Drosophila melanogaster: one gene and its partner. The protein of the gene in region 2 interacts with the protein of the main gene of each other region in a pairwise test. Each region holds a gene or a part of one and is shown on either strand. Other genes may lie near its edges. The genes, in order: Leash and SLIRP2.

Region 1 (5,197 bases), 2.2 Mb from region 2:
GAGCCCCACCAGAAGCTCTTCGACTCCAAGCGTTGGAGGGGTTCCTAAGGGAAGTGCGCTTCATAAGGTTATTCAGTTTGGAAGAACAACCAAGACTACATACCTTATACTCGAGCCGCCTATTAAGATCATGTGGCAGGATCACCGTGAAGCACTGCTTAAATGTGTTGTTGTAGCGAACCGCGCGATCGATGGTTAGGGTAACCTCGTGCTTAATCTGACCATGAGCACCATTGAATGAGGTGGGTGCATTGGGCGGAATGGTAGCCCGGAAGGGAAAGACGTACTTGCCGGTGGGCAACTCCAGCTGCGAGCCACCGGCCTGGCCGTAAACCGGCTGGTCAGTGCTGTAGTAGACCTCGGTGGTGGTGTGGGTCACCAGGGACTTGGTCGTCTTCCCATCCTCTCCCACTCGCTCCTCGCTTTCCTGCCAACGCGTCTCGCCGTATCCATTTATGGTTATAAAGATCGCTGCAATTGGATTAATTTGTCTGTACTGCCGGGTATGTAATTCAATTATGCATTTAGTTTAATTGCCATTGACCTTGGACCTTTTGTGTGTTTCGGATGTAGAATTGTATTGGAAAATTGCTCAGCTACAAACAACTGTCTTTGTTAATGAACTAACAATAATTTAATCAGAAGCATAAAAAAAACGAATGCTACCTAATAAAGTTCACCATCAAATTAAAGCGCTGCTAAGGCTCGACTATTTGATACCCTAGGAAATATTTGATTATTTGAATTTGAACCGATGGCTAGGGTCCACTTAGCTTGCTAATGGGATTTGTATAAATTTATATATATATGTATATCTGCATGAATTACGCCTAATTGACCCAAAATGCTACCTATACACTACAATTTAAAGGTATTGGCACGAACGGGCTGACCAGTAACTGAATCAAATATCTAATAATACAAACAGCGTACGCAATTTCAAAACAAAACTAGTTTTTACGCCGCTATCAGATATCCGCCAGCCAGCCAAGCGGCCACATGTGTGTTGTATATAAACTTTATGTATACATACATATATGTACATTTGTATATACAATACACATCTTTCAAGCATATCTACCGGCAACAATAACATTAAACCAGCGGATAACAAAGCACCAACAATATTAAGTGGATATTTATTTATTAGTGGATGGTAAAACGGTATGGGATTCAGAATTTGAATGGTGATGGAGGGGGATGACGTCATGGTTTCGAGTCCATTAGAATACATATGTATGTAGTGCGTCTTCTTCCGCATGTCGGTGTCACTTACATCGAATCGTCTTGGGGCGCTCCGTAATCAGTTCCGCCGTGCCGGAGATAAGCTGACCGGCTTGATAGAGCCCCAAAGGATTGCTGTCGAAGACGAAGTTCACCTTGCTGCTCATCCTGTCCAGAATTGGCTCCTTGGCGACGGTGTCGGGTGGTATCGCGCTATCAAGTTCCTTTGTTTGTTTTATTGATAGTTGGTGGAAGAGGTAGGGATTCGATGTATTCGAGGGTTCCGGCGACTCAGCTCGCAAGCTCCGAACGCGAGCAGCTCTGGCTTAATACTGAATTCTCAAAAGTCTTTGGTGAGACCGAAGAACCGAGAAGCAAACTTTTGTGCGCGAGAGGTTACAAGAAGAAGAAGCGAAGGACAGAACGGGGAAGCACACGAAATACTATATGGAGCATTATGCTGCTAAGCCAACTAAAGTTTAATCTTAATAAAATATGTATGTATGCTTCAATCATCGCTGACATCTAAGCTGAGCGTTTTGTTATCTATACAGTAAAATATTTGGTAATTATTATTCGTAGTGAAATATATCAACTTAAATTATTGGCGATATTCAAACAGAGAGTTTCTTCTTCTCTTTTCAAACATCAAACCATAAAAAAAGACCATTACTACCAAGCATTTCTGAACTCTTGCATTACAACTGAAAACAGTGCATTTAAGAAACGCTGTTTAGAACTTAAACTTTAAATTAGACACATTTGAAAATACCGATTAAAAAGTCTGCGAATTAACCGCTTCAGCTGGCCAGGCGCCCGGTGGCAGCACCGCGCAACAGCTGTTCGTGCTATCGGACCGCCGCTCTCACGGTTATCGAAAGAGAGCTGCAGCTACAACAAAAAAGCGTAACTCACGGATCTCGTAAATTTATAAGAAATTTAATTATTCAACCCGCCAGCGGACGACAGCAATCGAATTAAATTAGCCCGGGGTGTGCGACCAACACTTGTGGGCCATTGCGAATTGATGGATATCGAGATTCCCCAAGAACTGGCCACAATCAGCGCGAAAAAGCTCCCACTCACCGCGCGGTGTGTGTAGTAACATCAAATCGTAAATCGTGAGGCGAGTGCGTGTGGTGGTGCTACTATTCTGCATATACTTTAGGGTGGTGCGGGCCGTGGTGCTGCAGTGCATCCATGTACGTTTGTATGTGGCGGCATTTTGATGACGAAATTATTTTTGGATAAGTGCGTGAGGAAAGTGGCCAAACCGGAGGAGTCATCACCATCAACGCCAGCGGAATGGAAAGCGAGCGGCTGCGAATCACGCTGGACAGCGCGGATCGGGTTTACTTTGCGGGCGACATAATTCGCGGCGAGATCTGGATGAACGTCAACAAGCGCACCAAAATACGCGGTAAGTGCCAGTCGAGCATAACTTGCCGCTTCCTGGAATGCACATCTCAAAGCTCGGCTTGCATCATCCATGACTCAGCTGTAGACACGCAGAGAAAGTGTTTCAAAACCCTACATTTAACGTTAGGCTCTTAGTTTATGATTCTGGGTATTGTTTACATGTGTACATATAGATCGTATTACCGAAAAGATTTAGCTTAGATATAGTAATCTAATATTAACAAAGATGGTTTTCTGCACAACCCATCATGTACTCCACAAATAGAAATGTGCTTTTTTCTGTTTTGTCAGCGGTTTGCAATCCATTGTCCGCCCGATGGTCAGCTGGACTTTCGTTGCGGCCCCATTCGCATAAACAAAGAACTCCATCAGTTAACAAAGCACAGCGGCCATTTTATGGGGCTTCCTCCCCCTCCGCTTCACCGCAATTTCGAGATTCTTGCTCGCAAATTCCTCTAATTGCCTTCGGCGCTCGCCTTTCATTCATCGATAAGCTTTCAATTGCCGCCCGTTGCAATTGCAATTGAATTTCTTTTCGTTCTTCACGATTCTTGAGTACTGGCATTTGTTTCAGGAAATGCCAACCCAAACGCATCGCGCGAGAGGGGAGTGTAGACGGTGGGGGCATGTGCGAAGAGAGGCACACTCAGTTGGCGTGCCGAAAAAGCCGTAATATTGGGCCAAGCGCAAGTCGGGTCTAAATGAGAGAGAGGTGAGAGGGCGCTCGCAGCACAGTGGTGGCCACAAAGGGGTTTATATAGGTTTTTTTTTTTAATTATCCAGAAATAAGATTCCCAGTAATGGTATATTCCGAAGTATAGTGTTTAAAAGGCAAACAGCTATCTCCATTTTATTATGAAGTATACCTTTAAAACAATAAGTGGTTTATTGAATTTTTTATAAATGACTTAAAGAATTTTAAATCTGACATAATTGGGCGCCCTTGACTGTACAAGCGCCTCTCTGTTGTGATTTGCCACTATACAGGTGTGCGTGAGAACAGCAGCTGGTCCGTGCATGTGTGAGTAAGAGAGCGCGAGACTAAACGGGAGCGCCACACTATCCCATATTTTTTAGAAATTAATGCGCTACGCGATAAAATGAAGGGCATTTGGGTGTCATGAGGTGAAGCTAAAAGTGTTGGCTTCACGCATGGGGCCAAGGGTTTGTGGACATTGCCTAAAAATAGATCGACGGCTGTCCGTTAACTGCCCAAAAGTCAAAGTCGGCTGTTATCAGCGCATATATATATATATTTATATATATAAAAAACGCGATTTATTATCAGAGCACAGAATACGAGTACAAAAATATGTTTATACAAAAAAGGGGGGAGCTGCAAGACATGCTCATGAGGGGAATGATATCTGTGGAAGAAGGAATACATGACAGCTGCTACTGTGTAAGGCTTCGCAATTACATTAATTATACGCCTGTTCCTCTTAACCGGCCCACAAACATACATATTTCATACGTATTCATTTATATATATCTAAATATATTATGCACTTAATTGAACACAGCAGTTTATCGTTAGTTTGTGCACATTGGATGTAATTTCGGGGTTGCTCCATTACGCATTTATGCGGTCGTTGAGGAAAAGCTCCATCATCGGCCAGATCTCCTTTGTCTGTTTTCCCTTGAAAGTGGCAACCAGACCCTTCTTTTCGTACCAGGCTATTACCGGGCTCATCACCTCATCGTAGAGCTCCAGTCGCTTGGCCACCACATGGGGTTTATCATCTTCGCGTTGCATCAGCGGCTCCCCCGTCACATCATCTTTGCCAGGCACTTTGGGATTCTTGAAGCCAATATTGTACACCCTGCCGGAGGGCGCATGGATCCAGCGATTCTTGACCCGGTCGATAATCACACTATGTGGAACGTCCAGCGTGATCACGGCATCGATTTGCTCGCGTGCAGCCAGTGCCTCGGCCTGGGCTATATTGCGCGGGAATCCGTCTAGGATGTACGACCTGTTGCCTACCTCGGTTATCCGGGCCAGCATCGTCTTGGTCACAATCGCGTCGGGCACCAGTTTACCTTCAGCAATGTACTGCTTGGCCTTTTTTCCAAGTTCTGTGTTTTTTATGATGTTCTGGCGCAGAATGTCCCCCGTGGAGATGTGCACACATCCATGGTTCTTGCAGATCAATTCCGAAATAGTTCCTTTGCCCGAGCCGGGGGCTCCGATTATCACAGCGCGAAAGATTTTCGTAAACATGTCTAAGCTCTAGTTCTTCAACCTCTCCTTGAGCTGCAAGACAAAAAATTGAATTGATACATGGTTAAATTTAATATGATATGATAAAAAAATTCGGTTTATCTATTTAATATAGGATCTGTTTTTATATTTTGATTTAGGGTCAATAACATATAATCTTGGCAGTAAAACCAAAATTATTTCAGTTGACCATACTCGACTACTTTTATGGGCGATAAGACTATCAAGCACGCCACAATTGTTTGATACAGAGGTGATGAAGGTCATAGTTTTCGCTAAAGCTTATGTGTTTTATGTGTGACTAATCACGGGAATCCAACCAATGATTCC
Region 2 (2,746 bases):
AATGTGAGCAGTCCGAACACCAAGGGCCTGCGCGATATGCAGAGCAAGGAGAAGCTAAGAGAGCTCCTGGAACAGGTCAACGACACGAAATCCTCCCTGGATAAGAACAAGAATGTGCCTATACTCTTGAAACTTTCGCCGGATCTATCTTTGGACGACATGAAGGACATCGTGTGGGTAATCAAGCGCAAGAAGAGCCGCGTGGATGGCCTGATCGTTTCAAACACCACGGTGTCGCGGGAAAACATCGAAAAGAACAAGCTGGCCGAGGAAACTGGCGGATTAAGTGGTCCTCCACTCAAGGCCCGCTCCACAGAGATGATCGCCCAGATGTACCAGCTCACCGATGGAAAGATTCCCATCATAGGCGTCGGCGGAGTGGCTTCCGGCTATGATGCATACGAAAAGATCGAAGCTGGAGCTTCCTACGTCCAAATCTACACGGCTTTAGTGTACGAGGGACCCGCTCTTGTGGAAGACATTAAGGCGGAGCTGTCGGCGCTGATCACACGGCTGGGTCACACTAATGTTGCGGACGTGGTGGGCACCAACAGCAAGTTCTACTTGCCCAAATGAATCAAAGATGCCACGATTTGAAGCAAGTGCTGCATTCATTTGTGTAAAACTAAGCTGTTAACAAACATTTCTCATGCTTTTCCTTTGGTCTAACCAATAAATCATTAAATTCTTCATTGATTAACTCTGAGGACTTTCATTCGCCCGCTGGACTGTGAGCACTCGTCCATCGAGGAAATGGGTGTTCTGGTTGCTGGCGCTGTTGAAGGCATCCCGTTGGCTGAAAACCACAAAGCCATAGTGCTTGGACAGGCCCAGTTGCCGGTCAAAGACCACCTCCGCGTTGGCCACGTGCCCGTACTTTGAGAAGTAGGTCCGCAGTTCCTTGCTACCTATCGTCCATGGCAGGTTGCCGACGAACAATTTGTAGCTGCTGCGAACAAATCCGCTGGACATGATTATGTATGTTTTAATTTTCTGGTTTTAAATCACTGGTGATTGTGCATTGATTTTAAGGTGGCGCAGATTGGTTTATGTAGGCGTCGACGTCACTTATTGACGAAATGTAACTTTTCAACTAGTAAAAACTTTAACAAAGCTGGGATTAATTTGTGAAAAATAGAAACTCAAATCTCTTGGTTTTAAAGAAATAATTATTTATAGGTGACATTTTTATATTCGTTTTATTACCCACCTCACTACTTTTGCACCTTGCAGGACTGCTTATCGCAAGCTAGTGCGCATACTATCGATGGCTATCGATTGGCCGCAAATAATCAATGTTTCATCTCTAGCTCTTTTAAGTTTTGGTTGCTATTTATGTAAATGTTTAGCGAAATTGCGGAAAAAGTGCATATCAGTGCGCTCGATTGCTGAAAAAGTAGTTGCGTTGCAAACGGCGAAGAGCCCATCAAAGGCGGCCCAGTAACCAGGCGATCGGAGGGCCAAAGGAGCATCAAGTCGACGTGTTGTATTCGGGGCGCGGCGCCTGCAGAAAACGGACAAAACATCCTTAGGACAGCCACACAAAGGCGCATCGATACTTTCAGCCACCACACACAATGGCCGAACGACCGAAAAATTTGTTTGCAAGTGAGTTACCCCTTTGGTCTCGAACCGCCCACGCAGGTCATACACATGCAGCCGAAGAGGACCACATACTCGCTGGGTGACGCATAGTTTGGAAATCTGGTGCAGCGGCGATAAGCCATCTATGAAGCCTCCTAAATTCTCCCATTTCCCACACATTCCAGCCGGATCCAGTCGCTCCCGCAATCCCCCGGATCAGCTAAGCCTGAATAATCTTAGCATACGCCATCCGCCCTCGTCCACGTCGTCCACTTCTTCGGGATCCACCTCCTCGGGCTCAAGTTCCTCATCACAGCACAACCATGTGACCCGCTGTTTTGGTGCCCAGCAGCCACAGCAAACCCCGCCGGTGGCCAGCAGTCAAGTGCCACCGGTGCCGGCAGCATCGAGCAGCAGCGCTGCCGATCGTCACCGGGAGCGAATTCGCCAGCAGGCCTGTGGCAAGCTACAGTTTGGTGAGGGCGGCGCTAATACACACACATTTACTTCAGACGATCTCGAGGATGAGGGCGAAATTGGACGCGGTGCATTTGGGGCAGTCAACAAGATGACCTTTAAGAAATTGGACAAGGTGATGGCCGTCAAGCGCATTCGATCCACCGTAGACGAGAAGGAACAGAAGCAGCTGCTCATGGATCTCGAGGTGGTCATGAAGTCCAACGAGTGCATTTACATTGTTCAGTTCTATGGGGCGCTTTTCAAGGAGGGTGACTGCTGGATTTGTATGGAGCTGATGGACACCTCTTTGGACAAGTTTTACAAGTACATCTACGAAAAGCAGCAGCGCCACATTCCAGAGTCTATACTGGCTAAGATAACAGTGGCCACGGTCAATGCGCTGAACTATTTGAAGGAGGAGCTAAAGATTATCCATCGGGATGTGAAACCGAGCAACATTCTGTTGCACCGTCGCGGAGACATAAAGCTGTGCGATTTTGGTATTTCGGGTCAGCTGGTCGACTCTATTGCCAAGACCAAGGATGCGGGCTGCAGGCCCTACATGGCGGTAATGATTGTCATTTGATTTCACAACATTTTTACCGCAATTGTATGCATTTGTGCAGCCGGAGCGCATTGATCCAGAACGTGCCAAGGGCTACGATGTACGAAGCGATGTTTGGTCATTGGGCATCACATTAAT

The links.
Region 1: the proteins of SLIRP2 (region 2) and Leash interact in a two-hybrid assay, tested with the Drosophila melanogaster proteins (one large-scale study listed by BioGRID).

The regions. Positions count from the first base shown.
Region 1 is NT_033777.3:10,883,444-10,888,640, forward strand, and holds the start of Leash (leash), read left to right. Parts: upstream 1-2,096; 5' UTR 2,097-2,529; coding exon 2,530-2,644; intron 2,645-3,901; exon of another isoform or gene 3,902-4,216; coding exon of another isoform or gene 4,217-4,867; exon of another isoform or gene 4,868-4,900; intron 4,901-5,197. Other genes in the region: CG14696 (uncharacterized protein), read right to left, coding at 1-44, 104-471, 1,277-1,391; Ak3 (adenylate kinase 3), read right to left, coding at 4,217-4,867.
Region 2 is NT_033777.3:8,649,343-8,652,088, reverse strand, and holds SLIRP2 (SRA stem-loop interacting RNA binding protein 2), read right to left. Parts: upstream 1,006-2,746; 5' UTR 973-1,005; coding exon 697-972; 3' UTR 596-696; downstream 1-595. Other genes in the region: Dhod (dihydroorotate dehydrogenase), read left to right, coding at 1-576; Mkk4 (MAP kinase kinase 4), read left to right, coding at 1,578-1,608, 1,770-2,611, 2,670-2,746.